Arabidopsis thaliana: one gene and its partners. The protein of the gene in region 2 interacts with the protein of the main gene of each other region in a pairwise test. Each region holds a gene or a part of one and is shown on either strand. Other genes may lie near its edges.

Region 1 (7,867 bases), on a different chromosome or scaffold from region 2:
CTAGCCACTTACCAACCACTGAGTACACTCCATCGCACCCTACCAAAACCTGCATTTCGTTTAGAAACCCTACAATTCCGTAGCAAGACCAGGCCTCACATGGTTTACAGAGGACAAGTAGTTATTTACCTTGGTTTTGAGAATGGTCCCGTCGGAGAGATGAACCTTCTTGTAGCATCCAGACAATTCAATATGAACAACCTTAGACGAAAACCTGATGGTCTCTTCAGGCAACTCACCTGCTAGAGCCTCTAACAACAGCTTCCTCTGTACGCATCGAGACTCATATTCTCTGACAAAATCATTCAACAATATTATTGAAGTTATCTTATTTATTGTTTTAACATTCATATGCTCTGTGCAGAGAAGAAGAAACATACTCGGATTCTGGAAACAGCATCTCTGTGGGAGGAGTTCCTGCAGAAATTGTTCCAACCACCCATCTGCAGCAAAATCAAAGATGAGTCCCCTTTTTTACTGAGCTGATTATATATGAATAGTAATAATAGTGTTAGTTTGATACCCTTCAAGGCGATCATGGAGACTGCGAATATGCTGAGAAACGCCGAGAGCTTCCATGGCCTTCCAAGCATTGAACCAAGTGGTAAATGCAAATCCTGTCGCTCTCAGTGTCTCCGAAGATTCCAGCACCATGCTTCTGATCCCAAGCCTGTGACACACACCACTTTAGTTAACTTACTCTGCTTAATAACAACTCAAAAGGCACGCCACACACACCTGTGTAGTCCAACAGCGGTGGAAAGGCCGGAGATACCGGCGCCAACGATGATGATATCTGGGCTGCCTTCTTCTTCCATGGTGCGTTGATGATCTTAGAAAGAAAGCTCTGTTTTTCTTCCTCTCTAGTATTTATTTTTAACTTTCAAGTAAACAAAAAGAAATGTGGTTGAAGTTGGCAAGTCAAACAAGGCACCCCGTTCTAGGCAGGCGGCTACAGTCATCAAATATCGAATCTTTAATAGTATTTATATGTTGTCACACTTTATCCCGTTCTAGCTAGGGCGCAAATAATTGTACATTATAAATTTATAAACGTGCAAACAGAGATACACACTGTGTGGCTTATTTCGGAAAGAAAACGAGATTCAACGAAACGTATAAGGAGGATCCAAGGCGAAGCTGACGAGAAGCCTCGTGTTCTTGTAGGCCTTGCCTGTTCGATCGTGAAGCCGGACGGCTCTAACTCCGGACTTCAGTTCCGGCAGAGGAAGACATGTCTGTCCTGCGAAATCATTCTGGGTGTCATTGTCGTAGTCTTGGACTTTGAACCACAGAAGCGCCAGTTCTGGAACAGACAGCTGAAACAGGAACTCGTCGTTGCCCCATATAGGAAACCACTGATCGACAGCTGTTTCCGTTCTGTATGAGACCGTGTCTCTCGGTACTCCTGCTATTCCAATCTGATGCAGCAAATGCAACACACACACAGTTACGAAGAAATCTAGTTTAAAAGAAGAGTAGTAGTTGTTGTTTACCTTGACGAAGAAATCTGGAGGAGAGTATTGATCAAAGTGTGTATGATGGAAATCCAAATCCCATCCTTCGCCAGTGTAAATCTTAACCTTAAGAGTGGTCTTAATGGGAAACCTTTTGCAAGGGTCGAAGAGTGTGTGCTCGTCTAGCAAGATGCGAGGCTTTTTAACGTACCCACATCCACCATTCCCCCTGAACATTCCTTGCATTATCCATAGTTGCTTCCCATGTCCCTTTTCAACACAAATATTATTCAACCATTTTTTAACAAGTCAAACGATGATGAGCCAGTTCCACTTACTTGCATGTTAAAAGCAACCATTTGAGCACCGTGTGTCCACCCAACATGAGGATCGTAGTTTGACGAGTCCACTCTTGTGCCCTTTGGATATATCCTCACCAGATTCCTCTGTGTAAACCTGTTTTTGTTTTTTTTCAAACTCTGACTCAGGTTCATCTTATAACTCTTGAGTCGAAAAAGGTTCAACATTATGACTCCTCTCACTCTATATTTTACCTGACAAGATCCGTTCCTCTGGTCCTAACCATAGTGTCTAGCCACTGCTCGTCCATGCTGACCCGTATAGGCTTCTCTGGATCATCACTCAAGCAATCCTTTGAAGGATCTTTGCAGTTTGCAGCGTGGATTGCTATCAAGTCTCTATATCCTACAGCTTCACTCTCCATATCTTTATATTCTTCAAGAATCTTGTTCGCTACTCTGTTCCACGAAGTCTCTTTAACCGTTGGAGTTCTTGTGGTGTGTACAGTTTTGCTCTCAAGATACTCCTTTGGAGGCTTCGTAGAGATCAGGATCTTCCCCTTAAGTTCTTCTGGTGATGGAAAATGCTTAAAACTCTCTGAGACACGACGAAACAGCATCCCTCTGTATGTTTTAGTTAACATCTACAAACATAGAATCAATCAAATTTGTAAATCACTCTTTTTCAGAGAACGAAATATATACTCTGTTTCTGCAAAACCAACTTACCTTAGCAACTTGCGCTTGAAGCTTGGGTGGCAAATGATCTTCGAGAGTGATGATGACTGGATAGTCAGACACATGAAACGCGTTATCCTTAATGGCGGTTAGACATTTCTGCAAATCTTCATGCGAAGTAAGCGTCCTGATGAGAGAACCAAAACACATATAGTGTGTGACATTTTTTGGAGTCTGTTTGTTGATTATAAGACTTCGTTAGTGGGACCAACCTGCCATGACGAACTTCAGCAGCGTTCCCTGAAGGATTAGGCCATAAGTCGAGCTCGATCACTTTTACGCCTTTTCTGAGAGCCTGCACGATCGGTTCTACGCTGCTTCTGCTGTTCACTTGGTTCCCAGTCAAGTAAGAGTTATGTCCCGTGTACACAAAGTAATGCGATAACGGCGCCTTCATGTCATGATGCACCTTAACCCAACCAAGAACATATAATATACCCAATTACAAAACCATTTGTGAAATAAATCCATAAAAAGTTTCCAAACTTAGATACCTGGCCAGACATGGGAAGAGGAGAGTTGGTATCGCTGAAGAGGTAGCGATAGAAGGCGTTGAGATGAACAAGTCCATGGTGATGAAAAACGTTGTGGTGTTTAACGCTGTGGAAGATATCTTGCACGTAGTCCAACCCTGCGTGCCGTTCTCCTTGGACTTCACTCACAAATCTTAGAAGCTCATCGAAAGACATCTTGCCGTTTCTTGAGTAAGCTTCGAAGAGTCTCTTGATGCTCACTGGTGGCTGCCTCGTTTTCTCCTTAAAGCTTCTGCTGCAACAGAAGCACACTTTGAAACTCTCCGACATTCTTCTTCTTCTTACTTGTTAGTTCTGAGATCATATATTACACACACACATAAGTTAGCGTATATGATATGAAGCAAACAAAAGTGATGAAGAATATATGCTCGTGTTATCATCTCAAGGAACGTGTCTCGCTATTCCAATTACTTAATTATTCTTATTTTGAACTAAATTTGTTTATTTATGGCTATAAAAACCTTATAAAAGATTTAAATACACTTATATATGCATGGGTCCGAGGAAAACATAAAGGATCTATTAAACACTTTGTCACGTCTTTTCTAATGGGGATATATACTGGCTTTTTGCGGTGCAAATAAAAGAGACCACTTTGAGCAGCATCAAATCTATTAATAATTTTGTAAGATTAAACTTTTCAAACAAATCATCAACTAGCCGTAATATATCTAGTAAGAGACAATAATTCATTTTGAGTGATATTCAGTGGATGTTATCGTAACCATATTTGGGTAATACGATCCCTTTGTCGGTCTTTCCCATGAGTCATATGTGAAATAGGTTCAGGGCATCAGAGAAGTTACATTGGCGAAATGATGCATAATATAGTATATCATGTTACATGGGTTTTTTTTGCTTTGGTGATTTTCAGAGATCGATGCATGATATATTATGGGTTTGGGATCCATGTATCATGAATGATTGACGTATACCTAAACCTAATAACTAAATTTTACTTCAACATATATATCATCAACATGATTTTTTTTTTTTCTTTTTTAACATTCTTATCGTTATTTTTAATTAAAAGATAGTATTCGTACATAACTTTGCATTATATTTTAAGTTCTACTATTTAAGAAACCTATATAATTTGTTTATAATTACCGTAGTAGTAAATTTACTAAAAAATTCTAGCTTAGTAGTTGTGATTATGATCTTTTTTTAAAAGATATTTTTGTGAAGTAAATGTGAAGGGTTTATATATACACGTTCATATATAAGTGAAAGTATTGGCATATTGGGAGATGATTGGATAACGAAGTTGGTCCTGAAGTGAAAGGTTCAGAGTGGTTGGATTTTTGTGTGATTGATGGAAGCTATGTTCTGTAAGTAGGGACCTTCTCCACAGTCCACACCACCCTTTTCTCTATTTTTAGGTCTCCCTTATTATTGTTATCTTTATAAATCAATTTTTGGTTATGTAAGTTCACATATATTGACACTCGGCGAGATACCATGGGAGCATGCATGATGGGAAGTATATACATTTGTTGGTGAAAAAAGTATGAAAAAGTTCGCATATACATCAATTTGGTCCCGCAAAATTAGATTATCTAGAACTTAGTGATAATTATCGTGGACGTATTCATGTTTTAGAAGCAGGCTTTTGAGTTTCTCACTTAATTCATAGTTCTGTTTTTCTTTATTGAGCTGAAATTTTTATAGTTGATTCTTCTATTATTGGTACTACAAAAGTATAAATAACTACAAAGAGTCGATGGGGAGAAAAGGGCCAAATTTAGTGGTACATACATTAATATAAAATTAAATAATGTTAGGTAAAGTGACATATCTCACTTTATCCCAATCACTTTCGGGTCCCAAATTTTTTTAAATATTTGTTATTCAATTTTTCATTCTTCAAGCCCAAGCCTCTTCTCTATATATTTTTTTAAAATTTTAATCTCAGGGTCCTGGACCACCACTTTTATGGGCATTAAACGTTTGATACAAATTGTGTGGGGAAATTAAAAATGAAAGATTCATGAATCCACATATATTATTTCTAGACTGTACATGTATTTTATTTTATATGCACACTGCTTAAAATCTTGATTATAATTTACGAGGAGTAGTTTTAACGAAGAAAGAAAAAAACACATGGAGTAAGTAAAAGAAATAAATCTTGGTGACAGAAAAACAAAAGTACTCGTGTAGTTTTATCAGTCGTAGTCATGTAACACCGCCACATAACCAAATTTTATCGAAACCGTATATTTTTACTCTTCTTTGATTTGTGTTAAGAGATTTTATTAAACGTTGAAGAAAAATCTTCCGTTTGACCCCAGTTTATGATAATGTCTAAAGTAAAAGAGTTGAATATTTTTAAAATAAAGAGGAGACTTGAATGAATTATTATATCAATAATATCAACTATTTTATTTTCTTCCCTAAAAAAACTGTAATATTATTCTTTGCCACTGTTTGGTGTTGTCCATCTAATGAGGCAAAAAAGGACGAGAGGGAAGTGGAGCCCGAAAGCTGGGACCTTTGATGTGCTGGCTCCGACCTCGCCATCGTTGGTCTTTTATGGGTCTTGTCTGGTAAGAATCACTCTTAGTCTTAAGACTATAGAGAGAGATAAAGAGAGAAGATAAAAAAAACAACTCCAACTTTCTTTCTTTTTTTTACATAAAAACGTCGAAGGAGGATGTCTCGTTCGGCGACTTGACCTCTCTCTCTCTCTCTCTTTTACCTTCATTGTTCACTGTTTCCAGACATTGAAAGAAAGATCATTAGTTTCTGAGGGGATAACCATTTTTTTTTCTTCTTAAAAAGTTTTTTTTTTTGTCAATTGGTCTTCTTCTTCCTCATCCGCTCGCTTATATTTAATTTAATAATAATAAAAATCGGTGTTCATTTTTATATAAAAGTATAAATTTTGTGTTTGGTTGATCCATCCGTAGTCGTAGTAGATCTACAAGCTCTGAAATTCCACGCCCACATCTCCTCCGTCCTCTTGAGATCCTTCTCTTCATTCATTTTCTTGCTCAACTTGAGTTGCTTCCAACATCTTGCAAGGTAAAGTTTCCTTTTTTTTGGTAGCGAATACGAACCAGTTGGAATCTGCCGCATAAATCCTTTTGTTTTTTTTTCTTGCTTGCCGCATCACTAATTTTGCTTTCTTCCGATGGTTTCCTTACTTAAAGATGTTAACTTTTCAATGTTGCATCAAGTTTCTTAGATTGTTCAATCACTAGACTAATCAGTCTCACTATAATCTCCTACAGATTCATTTCTATTGCCACTCATAACAATTGAGTTTTCTCACTTTTTTGCTCTTTAGATTGTCTTTGAGTTCATTCAGGTCTTGAAGAAGAGCACTCTTTTAAGCTGTGTGAAACTTGCGCCGTTCCTGTGAAGAACTACTTTTGGCATTGCAGATTTCAGAGAGCTGTGATTTGTGCTATCTTAAAAACGGACAAGTTCTATGTTGTGGCGGATGAGATGAGGGATGCTATCTGGGTTGATGAATTTTCTGAATGCCTGTCTCTGGCCACGGTCAGATCAGCAGGCTCGTTCTGCCTCAGATTCTGGTGGCCGCCAAGAGGGTTTGCTCTGGTTCAGAGACTCCGGCCAGCACGTCTTTGGTGACTTCTCCATGGCCGTCGTTCAAGCCAACAGCTTGCTAGAGGACCAGAGCCAGCTCGAGTCTGGCTCTCTTAGCTCCCACGACTCTGGTCCCTTTGGCACCTTTGTTGGCGTCTACGACGGCCACGGTGGGCCTGAGACATCTCGCTTCATCAATGATCATATGTTCCACCACCTCAAGAGTGAGTCGCTCAACCTATGCTTTTAACTCTTGTTTGGATTAGCTAATCTAGAAAGGAAATATAGAAGCATTTCTCTAATAGCAGCACTAGTCCAGAAAATGGTTCTAGTTTTGATCTCTCATCTTTTATGTTATGCACAGGGTTTACTGCAGAGCAACAGTGTATGTCATCAGAGGTGATAAAAAAAGCGTTCCAAGCCACTGAAGAAGGCTTCTTATCCATAGTTACAAATCAATTTCAAACTAGACCTCAGATAGCCACAGTGGGATCATGCTGTCTTGTAAGTGTCATCTGCGATGGGAAGCTATACGTGGCCAACGCAGGGGACTCACGGGCCGTTCTGGGACAAGTCATGAGGGTAACAGGTGAAGCTCATGCCACTCAGCTCTCAGCAGAGCACAACGCATCTATAGAGTCAGTGAGACGGGAACTTCAGGCCCTGCATCCGGATCATCCAGATATTGTGGTTCTGAAACATAACGTCTGGCGAGTAAAAGGCATCATTCAGGTATTTAATAAACTAGAGTTGGACTAAATCTGTTTTTGTATGTCTTACAATTCCTGTTGTCTTTCTGAGTGGCTTTATGACTATACTCAGGTTTCAAGATCCATTGGTGATGTGTATTTGAAAAGGTCAGAGTTCAACAGGGAACCACTGTATGCAAAATTCCGGCTGAGGTCACCGTTCAGCAAGCCATTACTGAGTGCAGAGCCGGCGATCACGGTGCATACACTGGAGCCGCACGATCAGTTCATTATATGTGCATCAGATGGACTGTGGGAACATATGAGCAACCAAGAAGCAGTAGACATAGTCCAGAATCATCCGCGAAACGTGAGAACACACACCCCACTCTGTTTGTACTACTAGACTATATATAAAGAATGCACATAATAATAAGGACTCTTTAATGGCAGGGGATAGCAAAGCGGCTGGTGAAAGTAGCGCTACAAGAAGCGGCAAAGAAGAGAGAGATGAGATACTCAGACCTGAAAAAGATAGACAGAGGAGTGAGGAGACATTTCCACGATGACATAACAGTGATTGTTGTCTTCTT
Region 2 (7,867 bases):
TTAATATATGTTAGTATTCAAAATAACAAGATATTTTAAAAGCATAACAAGAGTTAGTGTCTCTATTTTCTCCCCACCTTCTTTCTAAATATAAATATTGCGTATGATTCATCATTTTCGCCTTTTTTTAATGGCTAACGTTCGGTGGTTGAGTGTCTGAGTGTCTGAGTGTCTGAGTCATATGCTATATATTATGCTTTGTCATTTTCCATATCATATTTGTGTATCCCCTTGTCCATGACCGATTAATTAATTTCGCTCTCACAACAAACACTTCACTAGAGAAAATATAATTACCATCTGTTCCCCTGAAACAATACATAATCAATGATGATATCAACATCAAGTGTTATAGTGAGAAATGCACAGCGAAATTTCTCAATTCGGTTTAGTATTCCAACAAATAAATCAATTATTGTTCACAAAGACGATCTGGCCAAAACTCATATAAATGTTATGTGTTATGGATCCTTTAATCTCCGTAATAACACCAAATTACTAAACTTCGAACGTATTTTACCTTTTGTAACCATTTAATATGATTTTAATAAACTTTTCATAGTTTTTTTTTTTACCTACAATTATTTATGGAAAATATTTTTTTCAGTTGTATTATTATTATTATTTTCTTAAAACAACTATATTTTTTTCATGAAGGGAAAACACTTTATATTATTTTGTGAAAGAAAGAAATTACAAATATTGAACTAATTAACTTATTTCTTTAACAAAAAAAAATCTTTTAATTGTTTTTGCCAATAGGGTCCCCACATTTTACAGGTGTCCCTCGTCCCAGCCCATCACTTGCGTGTCACTTGGACCCAAATTTCTCCTGTTTTTTAAAAGAAATTTAATTTCTTTCTAGTATATAAGAAAAAACAAAACAAATTAAAAATGAACCTATGATAACGTCAGCCGGAGAAGATCCCAGATCTGCGCGCGCTGGCATCTTTCATAGAGCGCCACGTGGCAAAAAGATTTTTCACTTTCGTAAGTGATCTTATCAAATCTCGGTCTTTTGTGTAAATTCATCATCATCATATAACTTACTCTATTTCGATTTTTCAATAAATTACTTAATATCAAAAACCACAATTCTGGCAAAAAAGAAAAATCCCCAAAATCTAGGGTTTTCTTCTCGCCCAATTTCACTTTTCTTCTACGAAATTCTCCATTCCTGCCGGCTGTCGGGTTTTCTGAATCGATTCTCCTTCACCAACTTCTTCTCTGGTTCTGTTCGATTCTGATTTTTTTTCAAGGTCAATTTTTTCTTCTCTTTAAACTCTGCAAAATCGTGATCGATTAAATTCACCTCAGGGTTTTTTGATTTCTGAAAGAAGTTAATCTTCTTCGAAGGCGATTGCAAAAGAGTGCTCTGCTGTGAATTTCCACTGGTATGTTCAATTTTTTCTGTTTTTGAAATTTTGTTTGCTAGAATTCGTGAAGGGATTGAAAAAATTGATGCAGGTGGCTAAAGAATCTCTTGAATATTACGAGCTTATGTAGGTTTAGAGTGTAAATTCGAGACATGTGAGATTTTGGTGCTTTCTCATATTTTTGCATGCTTCTGCATTGCTTCATAGCCCTAAAATTGCTCTCTTTTTTTTGTAGTTGGAGTCTGTATCTTTTTCACGGTTTTAGTGATGAATTTTTTTTTTTGATTGGATTTTGAATTGGTTACTGAACATGTGTTGACTTGATTATGTAGAGATGCAATCAAAACCGGGAAGAGAAAACGAAGAGGAAGTCAATAATCACCATGCTGTTCAGCAGCCGATGATGTATGCAGAGCCCTGGTGGAAAAACAACTCCTTTGGTGTTGTACCTCAAGCGAGACCTTCTGGAATTCCATCAAATTCCTCTTCTTTGGATTGCCCCAATGGTTCCGAGTCAAACGATGTTCATTCAGCATCTGAAGACGGTGCGTTGAATGGTGAAAACGATGGCACTTGGAAGGATTCACAAGCTGCAACTTCCTCTCGTTCAGGTTTGAGTTCTTGGTCTTTAGGCCTACTTGGTGTATTGTTCATATTCATCATTTCTGCAGTACTGTTTTACTGGATGACCTAGTGATCACTGTCGAAAGTGATGTTGTTCCACGTTCGGAATGTTGCAACTTGGTGAAGAGTTGTTCCTCAAGCAGGCAGGGAAATTAAATGGGCATTTGTGTGATTCGGCACTATAGGGCGTGTCAAGTTCATGAATCTGGTCCTTGAAATATACTTGCATTGTAATTGTAGGGTTTCATAGTTCTATCCATGCCAAGGAGATTCTGTCTCGTTGATATGTGCATTGTGATTTCTTTATTTTGTTTGTAATGGTGTCTTTCTTCAACTTCAGTAGATAATCACGGAATGGAAGGAAATGACCCAGCGCTCTCTATCCGTAACATGCATGATCAGCCACTTGTACAACCACCAGAGCTTGTTGGACACTATATCGTATGTGGTTTCCTCTCATTCCTTAATATATATATATATATGCTTTATGAGTTCTTGAGCTGTTAAATTGACTTCTTATTGGTCCCTCAAAAGGATTTATCTTGTATAACGCCCTTTTCATATGTATGATAAACTCAAAACTTCCTTACAGGCTTGTGTCCCAAACCCATATCAGGATCCATATTATGGGGGATTGATGGGAGCATATGGTCATCAGCAATTGGTATCTTGTCGAAACCTCTTTCAATCTCTACAATAGTTCCATATGGTGCAGTGTTTATTTGATGTATGTGCGCTTTTGCCACTAAGTACCCGTTTGTGGTGATTTTATTTACTGTTGGAATGTGTCTGGGTTCAGCAATAGTCAGTGAGATGCTTTTAAAGTTCATTTCTGAAATAACTGAGAATCCAAAGTTATATCTGAAATTATCGAGAACAACTAATGGGGATTCTTGGGGTCTTATAAGTTATATGTAAAGTTTTCGATGATCTGAGTCTATTTGTTGCATTTATTTTGTTCATTGGTTTAAACAGGGTTTTCGTCCATATCTTGGAATGCCTCGTGAAAGAACAGCTCTGCCACTTGACATGGCACAAGAGCCCGTTTATGTGAATGCAAAGCAGTACGAGGGAATTCTAAGGCGAAGAAAAGCACGTGCCAAGGCAGAGCTAGAGAGGAAAGTCATCCGGGACAGAAAGGTATTTTTTTCTCATTTATGAAAATTGTACTTGATTGGTGTCCTGGTAATCTAAGGATGGTGTAGAGTCCATAATAGAAGTGGACCCATGCTATATGAAGGATTGATAATGAGCATTAAGAATTTGCAAGTTTGGTTTGTCGCTCGGTAAACTTGTATTGACTATGTTTGAAATGCGACAGCCATATCTTCACGAGTCAAGACACAAGCATGCAATGAGAAGGGCACGAGCGAGTGGAGGCCGGTTTGCGAAGAAAAGTGAGGTAGAAGCGGGAGAGGATGCAGGAGGGAGAGACAGAGAAAGGGGTTCAGCAACCAACTCATCAGGCTCTGAACAAGTTGAGACAGACTCTAATGAGACCCTGAATTCTTCTGGTGCACCATAATAAAAAAAGCCAAAGCTCTGAGAGGAGAGAGAGACACACACTTTGGCTAATATAATCATTGCCTCAAACCGGCAAATCATTCTTGGCTTTTTCGTTTTTGTGTTTGCTAGTTGTTCTTGTCAGAGTCTCATATTGTGTGGGTTTAACAGTTATGATGAATGTACAAAGAGCGAGTTATGTTAGGTGTTAGATTTTGGAGACAAGAGACTAAGGAATAGCAAGTAGGTCTTGTTTTTATTCTTTGACCTTTTTTTTCTCTTTTGCAAAATTGAAAAATACGTTTGCTTAATCGTTTGCCTTTCTGACCACAAAGTGTTAACAAGGCTATAACAATGCTTCAGATTTGTAGTCAAATTCTCTGTTTTCGCCAACTTAAACATTATTTGACCGGAGGAGAGTGATTAGAAAGTAGAAGAAACCTATTAAACATTATGTTTTGCAAAGAAAAAAAAAACAGCTTGCAATAAGTTGCATAGTTTGCTCATGGAAGTTTCAAGTTTGCATATAAACCAGATTTGAAAAGGACAGTGAAAAAAAAGAAGTTGTTAAATCTACAACGGGCAGATCGATTATTTATATCAACAAAAAACACGAAGAGCATATGAAAGAGAATATGGAAACACATAAAAAATTAAGAGTTGTCATTCTTTGAATCCCCGCAAGCAAGAAGAAGAAGAAGAAGAAGAGAGTCAATTTGTGTGTTTTGTCATTTGAAGAAGAGAGAGAAAGAGGAAGACTTTGACTCGTCTTCTTCCTCTCTTCTTCTCTCTCTATCACTGCATTTGTTTTTCCTCACAGCGTATGATGACTTTTCTCTTTAATTTATCCTTTTTAGCTACATATCTTCTTTTGCTTCAACTGATTTATACCCATTTAAATGTTTCTACCCATTATAAGTTCTGAGGTCTGTGTTTTCCCTCTTTCCCTTGTCTTTGATCTTAGCTAGGGTTTACTAATCTGGTTTGAGTATATTAGATTAGGGTTCTGTTTGATTTAGGATATGTTGTTAATTAGAAATAGTTATTGGCTTAAGTTACTAATGGAACCTTGAAGAACAGTGCTCAAAGTTTTAATCTTTCTGGGTTTTTCAGGAACCTTGAGATTTGATTAGATGGGGAATTGTTGTGGCAATCCGAGTTCGGCTACGAACCAGAGTAAACAAGGGAAACCCAAGAACAAAAACAATCCTTTTTACAGCAATGAATACGCTACAACAGATAGATCTGGAGCTGGTTTTAAGCTCTCTGTGCTGAAAGATCCTACAGGACATGATATATCCTTGCAGTATGATCTTGGACGTGAGGTTGGTCGAGGCGAGTTTGGTATAACTTACTTGTGTACTGATAAGGAAACTGGTGAGAAGTATGCCTGCAAGTCCATATCTAAGAAGAAGCTGAGAACAGCAGTTGATATAGAGGATGTTAGGAGGGAGGTTGAGATTATGAAGCATATGCCTAAACACCCAAATGTCGTCTCTTTGAAGGATTCCTTTGAGGATGATGATGCGGTGCATATAGTTATGGAGTTGTGTGAAGGAGGGGAACTGTTTGATCGGATTGTTGCAAGAGGTCATTACACTGAGCGGGCTGCTGCTGCGGTTATGAAGACTATTGTTGAAGTTGTTCAGGTTCCATATATAGCTGTGTTTACAATGTCTGAAGTCCCCAATTCCTTTTGTCTGTGTTTTATGTTCACACATCGCTGGTTTGTCTTTACAGATATGCCATAAGCAAGGAGTGATGCATCGGGATCTCAAACCAGAGAACTTTCTTTTTGCAAATAAGAAAGAGACATCAGCCCTTAAGGCCATTGATTTTGGATTATCTGTATTCTTCAAACCTGGTACATTTACAACATCAGCTTTTGATGAGTATCAATGGAGCACATTTATTAGTGTATCTTTACTTGAGCTGAATTTTCTAAACTGTAACAGGTGAGCAGTTTAATGAGATTGTTGGAAGTCCTTATTACATGGCACCCGAGGTGCTGCGGCGAAACTATGGTCCTGAGATCGATGTGTGGAGCGCTGGAGTTATCCTCTATATCCTACTTTGTGGTGTTCCGCCATTTTGGGCAGGTTTGTTTATGCTTTACCGCATTCTCTTTGTTTCCTCTGGCTTATTCACTTTAAGACCTCTTTCAGACGTTTTTATCTTTCTTTTGGGTACAGAGACTGAGCAAGGGGTGGCTCAAGCGATCATTAGATCAGTTATTGACTTTAAGAGAGATCCATGGCCAAGAGTTTCTGACAGCGCCAAAGACCTTGTGAGAAAGATGCTTGAACCTGATCCCAAAAAACGGCTTACTGCTGCACAAGTTCTCGGTAGGCTTCTGTTTTCAGCAAGGCTGAGCTTTCTGAAATCGTAAACTCATAAATAAATATTCCATTTGCAGAACATACTTGGATACTGAATGCAAAGAAGGCTCCAAATGTCTCTCTTGGGGAGACTGTGAAAGCAAGACTAAAGCAGTTTTCTGTTATGAACAAGCTCAAGAAACGAGCTCTACGAGTATTGATTCTGTTAAACCATGTCACTGATTATCGATTTGCTTCCAGTCTGATTCAGAATCAAAAATGAAAATGTAAATTTGTTTCGTCCTTCTAGGTGATAGCTGAACATTTGTCAGTGGAGGAAGCAGCAGGGATAAAGGAAGCATTTGAAATGATGGACGTAAACAAGAGAGGCAAGATAAATCTCGAGGAGCTTAAATATGGACTTCAAAAAGCTGGACAACAGATAGCTGATACTGATCTTCAAATTCTTATGGAAGCTGTATGAATCTTTCATTTCAGAGCGATTAGCTCGAAACAAGTGCTATATCACTTCTGAAAATTAAAACTCTTTTTTTTTGTTTCCTGCAGACTGATGTTGATGGGGATGGGACACTGAACTATAGCGAGTTTGTTGCTGTTTCAGTCCACCTTAAGAAGATGGCGAATGATGAACACTTGCATAAAGCTTTTAACTTCTTTGATCAGAACCAGAGTGGTTACATAGAGATTGACGAACTTCGTGAAGCCTTGAATGATGAATTGGATAATACTAGCAGTGAGGAAGTAATCGCAGCCATCATGCAAGATGTTGATACCGACAAGGTAAAGCTGTCTGAATCTTTTCAAACGCGCGACATTCTTGACTTCTCCACTCATTTTGATATCTTGTTTCGTGTGATCAGGATGGACGAATAAGCTATGAAGAGTTTGTTGCGATGATGAAAGCTGGGACAGATTGGAGAAAAGCGTCAAGACAGTATTCTCGGGAAAGATTCAACAGTTTAAGCCTCAAGTTAATGAGAGATGGTTCATTGCAATTAGAAGGCGAGACCTAAGAAAGCAAGAGACAAAAGTTTGAATCTTTTTGAAAAAGCAGCAGCAGAAGAAGAAGAAGAAAGAAGCGTCAGCATTGTCAAAAAGAAATAACTATTATGTTCTATAAGCATTTAACACGGTAATGATAGAAAGATTGGTCGTGGTCGTAGGTTTTGTTTAGGGCTTTCAATTTGTTTGAAAAGTTCTTCAATGGACAGCGATGTGATTGATGATGATGTCGAACAAGTTTCTGAGATTCCAAAGATACGAGTTTTGTGATTGTAATTCATATATTTATAAGATGGTGTAAGATGCTTCGTGAAAGACACGCGCCAGTTGGATTCTCTCGATAGTGAGGTCCACCAGATATATAAAATAAGAAAAAACCCTTAAAACTCCGAAAGAAAGATTCTTCTTTTTCGCTGACTCTCCACTTCTCTCAATCGTCCGCCTCTACCTACAGAGAGAGAGACTGAACCAGACGACTTTCAGTTTCAGTTCCAGTTTCAAAGATCTCTTTTTCGTTTCTCGCTGTCTGTAGCATCAATGGCAATCGCTTCCTGCTTCTTCTGTGTTCCAACACCGAACACAGCTATCTCTGAATCCAATCTGACATGGCCTCACATCGCTTCGTTTCCTAGACTCTCTTCATCTTCCTCTTTTAACGGTGTAATCTCTGCAAAGTCAATCTCTTTTAACCGCCGTGTACCTATTACCCCTGTTTTATCCGCTTCAAGTGGTAACGGCGGCTCTGATAACAACGGAGGAGGTCTTAGTGGTGGTGGTGGTGGTGGCGATGGAGGTAAGAATGATGGAGATGGACACGGTGACGAGGACAGGGATAGGAACAGGAACGAGGCGATGCTTTTGTTGAAGGAGTCTGGGATTGAATTGGAGAGTCTTCCCAAAGATCTAGCGGCTGCTATTGAGGCGGGTCGGATTCCTGGATCGGTTATCACTCGGTTCCTGGAGCTTCAGAAATCGGCTGTGATGCGGTGGCTGATGCAGTTTGGTGGGTTTAGGGAAAGATTG
Region 3 (7,867 bases), about 12 Mb from region 2:
GCCATGTATCTATCCATGGAATTACATTGAGAGTTATATGGTTTCTGGTTTTAATTCGTCACAAGTCACACTTAGCCGCCATATATAGTTTCTAAATATTTCTTTCGAGACAGTACTAATTATCCGGCATATATATTGTGTGTAGTGTCATTGGATCATTGATTTTGAGCTTAGGATTCTACACTGTGATTTGGGGAAAAGCAAGAGAGGATTCAATCAAAACTGTGGCTGGTACTGAGCAGTCCCCTTTGTTGCCTTCACACACCATAGAAGAAGAAGCCTCATTAAGCTGTGACTGATGCAAGTGGAATCTGTTAAGAGATGGTCCCCATTGATGTTTACGTATAGCTACACTACATTGTACATATGGTAATTTTGTATGTTTTTCTTTCTTGTACTATTTCAAGTTAAGGATTTTTAATTAATGTAAGACGACTGATATTGCCAGTTAGGAAACCTTCTCTTATATTTCCATTTTATCAACAACCCTTAACGGCTCTAAACGCAAAATCTATGCAAATATATGGAAATCGAATCTAAAAAAGCGCACACACACATATCTTTACGCGTTTTTTCACCGATCAGCGAGAGTGATAAATATTTTTTCAAACCCTAGTGATCAAAATATATCTCTAATTCACACAGTTTCCTTCTCACTTTCTTCATCTTTTTCACAAAGCCGCCAAAGTTTGTCTTCGTGTTTTCTCTTCACTCTGAAACAGAAAGTTTGTCTTCGAAATCAACAATAATGACTATGCGATCATCTTTACCTTCTTCCTCTTCCGCTTATTCACTCGCTTCAACAAGTTTGAGCAACAGACTTGAGACCATCTTCAAGAAAGCTTCAGAGCTTTGCACTCTCTGTGATATTGAAGCCTGCGTCATCTATTACGGACCAGACGGAGAACTCAAGACATGGCCTCCGGAGCGAGAGAAAGTGAGAGACATTGCTCTTAGGTATAGTCAATTAAACGAAGCATTGAGACGCAAGAAAAGCGTTAATCTTCATGGGTTCCTGAACAAGAAGAAGAAGAACAAGGGTTTGAAGAATACGGACAAGAAGAGGAAGACGAGTCTTAAGAAGGTGAATGTTTTAAAGTATCCACTCGCTGATCATTACCCTCCCGACCAAGTTTCTCCACTGATTCAGTCCTTGGAACTCCATGTCTCTAAATTCCACGAAAGGCTTGAATTTCTTGAGTCGCGGAAACAGAATGAGACACAACCGGATCACCACAGTTTAGCATCATCCTCTCTGAATCATCAGACCCAATCTTTGAACCCTAGCCAGTTCTCGCTGTTTATGTATAATCATGGAGACAATACTCTGTCTCAGATCCCAGTCTCTGCATCAAATTTCAATCAGGATTATTTCTCAGCGTTACTTGAACAATCTGAGTTGAAGAATCAGTTAATGAAGCAGGAGATTTGTGGTAATGATCAGAATCAGAACATGTGGATGGGTAACATCACCAACAACAATTTTCAACTTCCTTGCGTCTCAGTACAAGAATCTGTGAACAACTTTGGGTTGATGCACAAGGAGTTTTATGGTTGTGATCATAACATGTCTGTGGGTAACATCAATAGCAACAGCTGTGAACATCCTTGCGTCTCAAGCACACAACATTACTCGGCGGTAGAAGAATCTGTGAATAACCCCTGGTTGAATCAGTTGATGCAGAATGAACTTTATGGTTACGGTTATGCAGACTTTTGTTAATTTCTTATGATTAATTCTGTGTGTCTAATGTCTTGTTCTTAGGTGTGTTGTTGTTCTGTATTCAGCTAATATTGTAATAAATTTTGAATCATCATCCCTAGAAACATTAATTACTAAAAGCCAGTCTTATGATCTATTTCTGATTTCTCTCTTATGCATAATAAACTCAAATTTCCAATAGAGACTCTCAACAGAGCAATAACTGTGTATGTGTGTGTTAGTTGTATAAGTAGAACTAAGCATATGTGTTCCATTGGGAAACACCAGTTATATGTTATAATAATCTGAATTATCTCCAGCTTTTTTATGGTTATTAGTTGGATAGTATGAAGCAGTACATGCACTTTCACTTTCCATACAGGTAGCTGGTTGTAAAGCTATTGAATATAGTTCCCCAACTCTTACCTCTGCTATCAGCAACCTCACACCATCTTCCACCTTCATACTTGCCGTCTTCTTCAGGTTCCACCTTGTTTCTTTCCTCTCTGTTTGTAGAAAATGAACAACCGAGTGGTTCCACGTTAACCATACAAAATATATGTTTCTGAAACAGTAACAATCAAATATGAAACAATATCAGAACACAGACAGTAACTGTCAAATATGAAACAATACCAAAATGCAGAAACATTCTCATGCCACTAATTGTGGTTGTACTAGTACAACCTTGCGGTGATATCAACATGTTAGCCTATCATTCTTTCCCGAGAAACTTCTGATGGATATGAGGATTTTTTGTGACTATCAATTTTTTTATCTGGTGACTTATAAAGGATGGAACAAGTAACACTAAGAAGCTCTGCAAATCTGGCTTAGATCATTGGCAAGATAGTATCGATATCTGCTGCTCTGGTTGTTGTTCTCTATAAAGGCCGAAAAGTTCTTGATGCTGCATCTTTTACTTCATTCGAGTCAAGTTGGATAATTGGAGGCCTTTTGATCACTTCACAGTATTTGCTTGTTTCAGTCTGGTATATTCTTCAGGTACATATACTTGGAACTGATTCATGAATGAGATTTTGGGTTTTGTTGGTTACACATAAACTTAAGCTAAATTTGGCAGCTGTACATGATTTCAGAGTCAGGTCATGGAGATCTACCCTGAAGAAATAACTGTAGTCTTCTTCTACAACTTATGTGGAATGCTAATTTCACCACCAGTTTGCAGAAAAAGACTTGACCTCTTGGCAGCTTAAACCGGATATTTCCTCGCTGCAGTCATATACTCGGTTAAAGTCAAACCTTTTATAACCTGCTTCAACTACTGACTCTTATCTTTAAGCTCAGAAACTACCACTCTGTTTCAGGGAGTATTTGATTCATCATTGTGCTCGGTTATACACACATGGGGTCTCCACCTGAATGGTCCAGTGTATGTATCCTTATTCAAGCCGTTGTTTATAGCAGTTGCAGTCGTCATGGGTGCTATATTCCTTGGCGATGCACTTCACCTTTGGATGTGCCATATCTTTCAACTATAGCGTCTCTTTCTTGAGAAACATAAGTGATATAAACTTAGTTATCTTAGTTATAGGTTGTTGAAATGTTTAGTCTCATGATCTTCATGTTACTATGTTGCATCTCTGTGTTGTGGACAGTGTGATTGGATCAATGATATTGAGCTTTGGGTTTTATACTGTGATTTGGGGCAAAGCAAGAGAAGATGCAGCCAAAATAGCAAGTCTTTCACAGCAGTCACTTTTGTTGCCTAAACACAACAAAAGAAAATGAAACCTTACCATGAAGATATGTTAGATGCAAGTGAAATCCTTTAATTACTTACTTTTGGACCCATTAGAAGATGGTTGGTCCCTGTTTATACAGAGCCAGGGTAAATAAGAATTTAGTTTTAGCTTCTCTTCTAATTTCTTGGATTCATCTATTGGTTTTGTACCCATTTGAAGATGGTCCTGGTTTATCTTGTCTATCTATCTATCTATATAGATGTCACATGTTTATACGTTTTGTAATTATTTGATGATGTTTGATGAGGATATATACATCCATCTATAATTTGTTTGTCAATAACTTTTTGTATGTAAAAATGAAATATGAAACGTGTGTTTTAATCTAGCCACAACATGTGTAGGAATCCATTTAATTACAATTTTTCAGAGACCACATACATTTCATACCCAACAAATAAATGTTTTTTCAACCAATAAGAAGACAACAATTAATCATTTATTTGATGGAGACTGTTTCACATGTCTTTTCCCATCAAGATCCCATGAACTAATAATATATACAAATTTCAGAGAGACAGAGGCTTAGAAGAAAGAAGAAGCCAAGAACTAAAAAATGGTTCATGGAAGGTTATGTAACAGAGATGGCTGGATCTTGACGGCGATGGTGGTGACAGAGTTTTCTAACGTAGGAGTAAACACTCTGGTCAAAGCAGCGACGTCCAAAGGACTTAGCCCATTTGTGGTTCTTGTATACTCTTACACTTTTGGATCTCTTCTTCTTCTTCCTCTTACATTCTTCTCCTTCAGGTTCTTCATTCTCACGATTCTGTTTCAAGTTTTATGTTAAGTATTAAGTAATTTTTCTTACATAGACTTATCTCTACAGATCAAGATCTCTCCCTCCGTTGACATTTTCAATTCTATGCAACATGGGGATTCTTGGTCTAATTGCGTAAGTTACTTTTATTTTGGAAACACTATATCTAGTAGCATTTGCAATGCATATATCTTCCTAGCTAGGTTTCAAAACCAATTATTAGTTGGTTCTTGAATTGCATATAAGTGTGTATTCAAAAAAAATTGTTTTATGGAAGAAATTTCTTACTTAAATTTGTTGTATTTGTACTTCATAAAAAGAACAGAAGTGCGTTTCAAATCTTAGGCTACAATGGGATAAAATATAGCTCGCCGACTTTATCTTCGGCCATGAGCAATGTCAATCCTGCTTTTACCTTCATCCTCGCCGTTGTTTTTCGGTAAATTCTATTTCCCAAATATTTCAAATCATTAATTAGTCGTAATCATTTTTTTGTTTCTTGTAAAAAGTCGTAGCCATTTTAGCTTTTTAATTTTCTTTGCTTTACGTTATAAGATTTTTTATGCTTTAAGAAATCCAACGATGTTGTTGTTGACAAAAAGGAAAAATAAATCTCTCCATGGTTGATGGAAATTAAAAAAGAAAAAGATCTCTATCGTTTTAGTTAATGTCACATATATAATCATAATTTCTTCAATCATCGTTTCACTAGTAGCTCGTTTCTCGCCGGAAGACTCGCGCTAAGTCCACGAAATATGTTTTTTAGATTAATTTTATAATATAACAGCATGAAAATTTGTCCCATTTTAATATTATTGAAAACGTTTGTCTGAAAAGTCAACAAAAGAAAAAATAAAATTAAAACGTGTATGGAAAAGCATCACTGAAAACGTGTGCAAGGTAATGTTTTTCCGAAAATTTCTTGAAAACTATAAAATATATCAGTATAAATTATATATAACGAAAATATATCAATAGTTTATAATAAGATATGAGAGCTGACTCTCGAGTTTAGGTAGGAAAGAAGGATAAACAAATCCATAATAGTTTATAAAAAATTTTGGTGTGGTTTATAAAATTTTGTTTGGCCTTCATAAATACATTTATATTCAGTTTTAATATATTTTTATTAATCTGTGTATTTTGTTTAAAAAATCAATTAAAAAGGAACAGAAAGAATACTTTTTATATTTTACTCACTTGCACTTTTTTTTTATGAAGAATGGAAAATATATCTCTAGGGAAAAAGAGTAGTGTAGCCAAAGTGTTGGGAACAATATTGTCAATAATAGGTGCACTTGTGGTTACTCTCTACCACGGTCCAATGCTAATGTCTTCACATTCGGATTGGATCATCGGTGGTGGCCTTCTTGCTCTCCAATACATCCTTGTCTCCGTCTCTTACCTTGTTATGGTATACCTTACTAGATAATGTTATATCCAAAATGTCATTGAAATAGTATAGTTGTCTTAGTTATATTATATTAATATATGGTAACTCAAAACTCGGCTATTTATAGGCTCACACAATGGGTCGATATCCATCTGCCGTCGTTGTGACGCTTGTGCACAATGTTTGCATAGCTGTTGTGTGTGCATTTGTGAGCCTTTTGGCAGAGAAGGACAATCCGAAGGCATGGGTCATAAGATTCGACATAACCTTAATTACCGTAGTAGCAACGGTACTCATGACATTATATTTATAACTTTGGTTTCATATGTTTGTTCATTTATTCGTTTTTCTTGGTCTTTGATGATTTATGGAATATACATTTTTCATAGGGGATTTTGAATTCGGGATATTATGTTATACATACGTGGGCAGTGAGTCACAAGGGACCTGTGTATTTGTCTATGTTCAAACCGTTATCTATATTGATAGCAGCCGTATCAACTTTCATTTTCCTCGGCGAGTCGCTCTACCTTGGAAGGTATACCACAAAACTGTTGCTTCTCATGATTTTAAATTCACTATGTAAATGTCATTTCTCAATCCTCCTCTATATGTTTGAGTACAGTGTGATGGGAGGAATATTGATATCAATAGGATTTTACATGGTGTTGTGGGGTAAAGCCAAGGAAGACAAAGTTGACATAATAGGAGCAATAGAGTCCTCTCCTTCACATAATGCTCCTCTCTTGGATAATTTTAAAAGCTAATCAATATTCACTTTAGTTTTTCATGAGTGATTTCTGACAGATTAATACTATTTATGTGTGTCATCCATTTTATAATATAGTTCGACCAATAGTCCAAAACTCATTAAAAAAAGGCGTAGACAAAAACCAGAGACACACATATTAGTGTTTGTTAATAAAATTGGTGTTTTGTGATCCTTGGACCATGGTATGGTGATTTCACTGAATTGGTTCGATCTTAGTTTTCAAAATCGGTTCAGGTAGCTAAACCAGACTAGGGTTTCTTAATGTCAAAGCGCTACGAATCCCACTATTTTACTTGGGACATATAGATGAATGGAAAGTGAAGTATTTGGTAGAAGAACCTATGATTATATCTCATCCATTTCACTTTCTTTTTGCATACTTTTTTTGTGTGGATATATATGATTGTTCTACCAAGTTCAAACTTCAAAGAAAATAAATGAGAGAAAAAATAACCAATGTATTTCTTCTTGCATATTTTTCCAAATACAAAACAGAATCAAGAAAAATCAAATTATGGTTTGAGCTTCTCTTTGTCTTTCCATGACTGTATTTGCTTTTATGTCCTTCCATGGACAAAAATCTCTCTTTCTCTCCTTCTGGTTATGGTTCCTTCTGTTTCAGTTTCTTTCTTCAGTCTTGAGATCATCAGACATAGCAGAAGGTATGCAATGTGTGGTCAGAATATCTAATGTTGCTTCCTTTGCTGTCTTAGTGTCCAGAACAACAATCTGTAGAAACACCAAAGAATTTTAGCTAAAAATTGTTTATAAGTTTGTATAAAAGTTAAGGAAGATGAGAAAATAACATACCTGATCATAATCCAGATTAAACTTCATATATTCATCCTCACAATTCTCCACCATCCCAGCTAAACCTTTCAAGTTTTTCACAGGTTTGCCATTAAAGGCGACAACCTACACGGCGATTTGAACATTTAGCGTGACAGATGCTTCAATAAAGTGACAAATGATAAATGCAATTTAACAAACCTGGGTGTTGACAATCTCTTCATAACCAATGTTAATGTCAGAAACAAGAACCTGCAAGTTAAAATATGGGTGTTGAGGCTTCGACACCAAAATAATTATGACTGCATTAACGTGTGAAACAGGAGAAACCAACCTGTGAAACTACAACAAGCTGCTCGTCCACGGATTGAGCCATTGCATGAAGATGTTTCTCCAATAGCTTGACAGGTGCGTCAAATTCATATTCTTTTCCATACTGCAAAACATATCAATGGGAAATAGTTATATAAACTGTGAATGGATGCATGAGAGAAAGCGAGAAAGTAAGGAAAGATAGAGAGACAGTAAAGGACCTCAGATCGAAGATATGGAACAGAGACAGTTGTAAATACAAAGCCAGCAACGATGAAGTACGAAGGAGGTTTGCCACTTATGTGAGCAGGGATTAGCCTCTTGTGGATTGCAAGTTTTATGTTGAACTCTAATATTTCTTTGTTTCGTAGAA

The links.
Region 1: the proteins of CPK7 (region 2) and AT4G38520 interact in a protein complementation assay, tested with the Arabidopsis thaliana proteins (one large-scale study listed by BioGRID).
Region 3: the proteins of CPK7 (region 2) and UMAMIT42 interact in a protein complementation assay, tested with the Arabidopsis thaliana proteins (one large-scale study listed by BioGRID).

What each region holds. Positions count from the first base shown.
Region 1 is NC_003075.7:18,016,138-18,024,004, reverse strand, and holds the start of AT4G38520 (Protein phosphatase 2C family protein), read left to right. Parts: upstream 1-5,504; 5' UTR 5,505-6,057; exon of another isoform or gene 6,058-6,322; 5' UTR 6,323-6,490; coding exon 6,491-6,809; intron 6,810-6,949; coding exon 6,950-7,317; intron 7,318-7,407; coding exon 7,408-7,644; intron 7,645-7,727; coding exon 7,728-7,867. Other genes in the region: AT4G38540 (FAD/NAD(P)-binding oxidoreductase family protein), read right to left, coding at 1-49, 130-292, 381-443, 524-670, 739-818; PLC1 (phospholipase C1), read right to left, coding at 1,107-1,421, 1,497-1,727, 1,796-1,913, 2,012-2,400, 2,486-2,621, 2,707-2,903, 2,989-3,297. UniProt on the Arabidopsis thaliana protein: Dephosphorylates and represses plasma membrane H(+)-ATPases (PM H(+)-ATPases, e.g. AHA1 and AHA2), thus influencing negatively plant growth and fitness.
Region 2 is NC_003076.8:4,046,805-4,054,671, reverse strand, and holds CPK7 (calmodulin-domain protein kinase 7), read left to right. Parts: upstream 1-4,028; 5' UTR 4,029-4,324; intron 4,325-4,616; 5' UTR 4,617-4,636; coding exon 4,637-5,152; intron 5,153-5,243; coding exon 5,244-5,367; intron 5,368-5,458; coding exon 5,459-5,602; intron 5,603-5,695; coding exon 5,696-5,848; intron 5,849-5,919; coding exon 5,920-6,035; intron 6,036-6,131; coding exon 6,132-6,299; intron 6,300-6,388; coding exon 6,389-6,622; intron 6,623-6,702; coding exon 6,703-6,855; 3' UTR 6,856-7,159; downstream 7,160-7,867. Other genes in the region: NF-YA1 (nuclear factor Y, subunit A1), read left to right, coding at 1,711-1,987, 2,341-2,441, 2,593-2,664, 2,976-3,140, 3,322-3,525; AT5G12470 (UvrABC system C protein, putative (DUF3411)), read left to right, coding at 7,382-7,867. UniProt on the Arabidopsis thaliana protein: May play a role in signal transduction pathways that involve calcium as a second messenger.
Region 3 is NC_003076.8:16,072,246-16,080,112, reverse strand, and holds UMAMIT42 (nodulin MtN21 /EamA-like transporter family protein), read left to right. Parts: upstream 1-3,891; 5' UTR 3,892-4,024; coding exon 4,025-4,218; intron 4,219-4,297; coding exon 4,298-4,363; intron 4,364-4,553; coding exon 4,554-4,667; intron 4,668-5,449; coding exon 5,450-5,642; intron 5,643-5,748; coding exon 5,749-5,910; intron 5,911-6,010; coding exon 6,011-6,159; intron 6,160-6,246; coding exon 6,247-6,388; 3' UTR 6,389-6,579; downstream 6,580-7,867. Other genes in the region: UMAMIT37 (nodulin MtN21 /EamA-like transporter family protein), read left to right, coding at 146-299; AGL43 (AGAMOUS-like 43), read left to right, coding at 749-1,723; DEG9 (DegP protease 9), read right to left, coding at 7,012-7,122, 7,204-7,308, 7,384-7,434, 7,517-7,618, 7,716-7,867.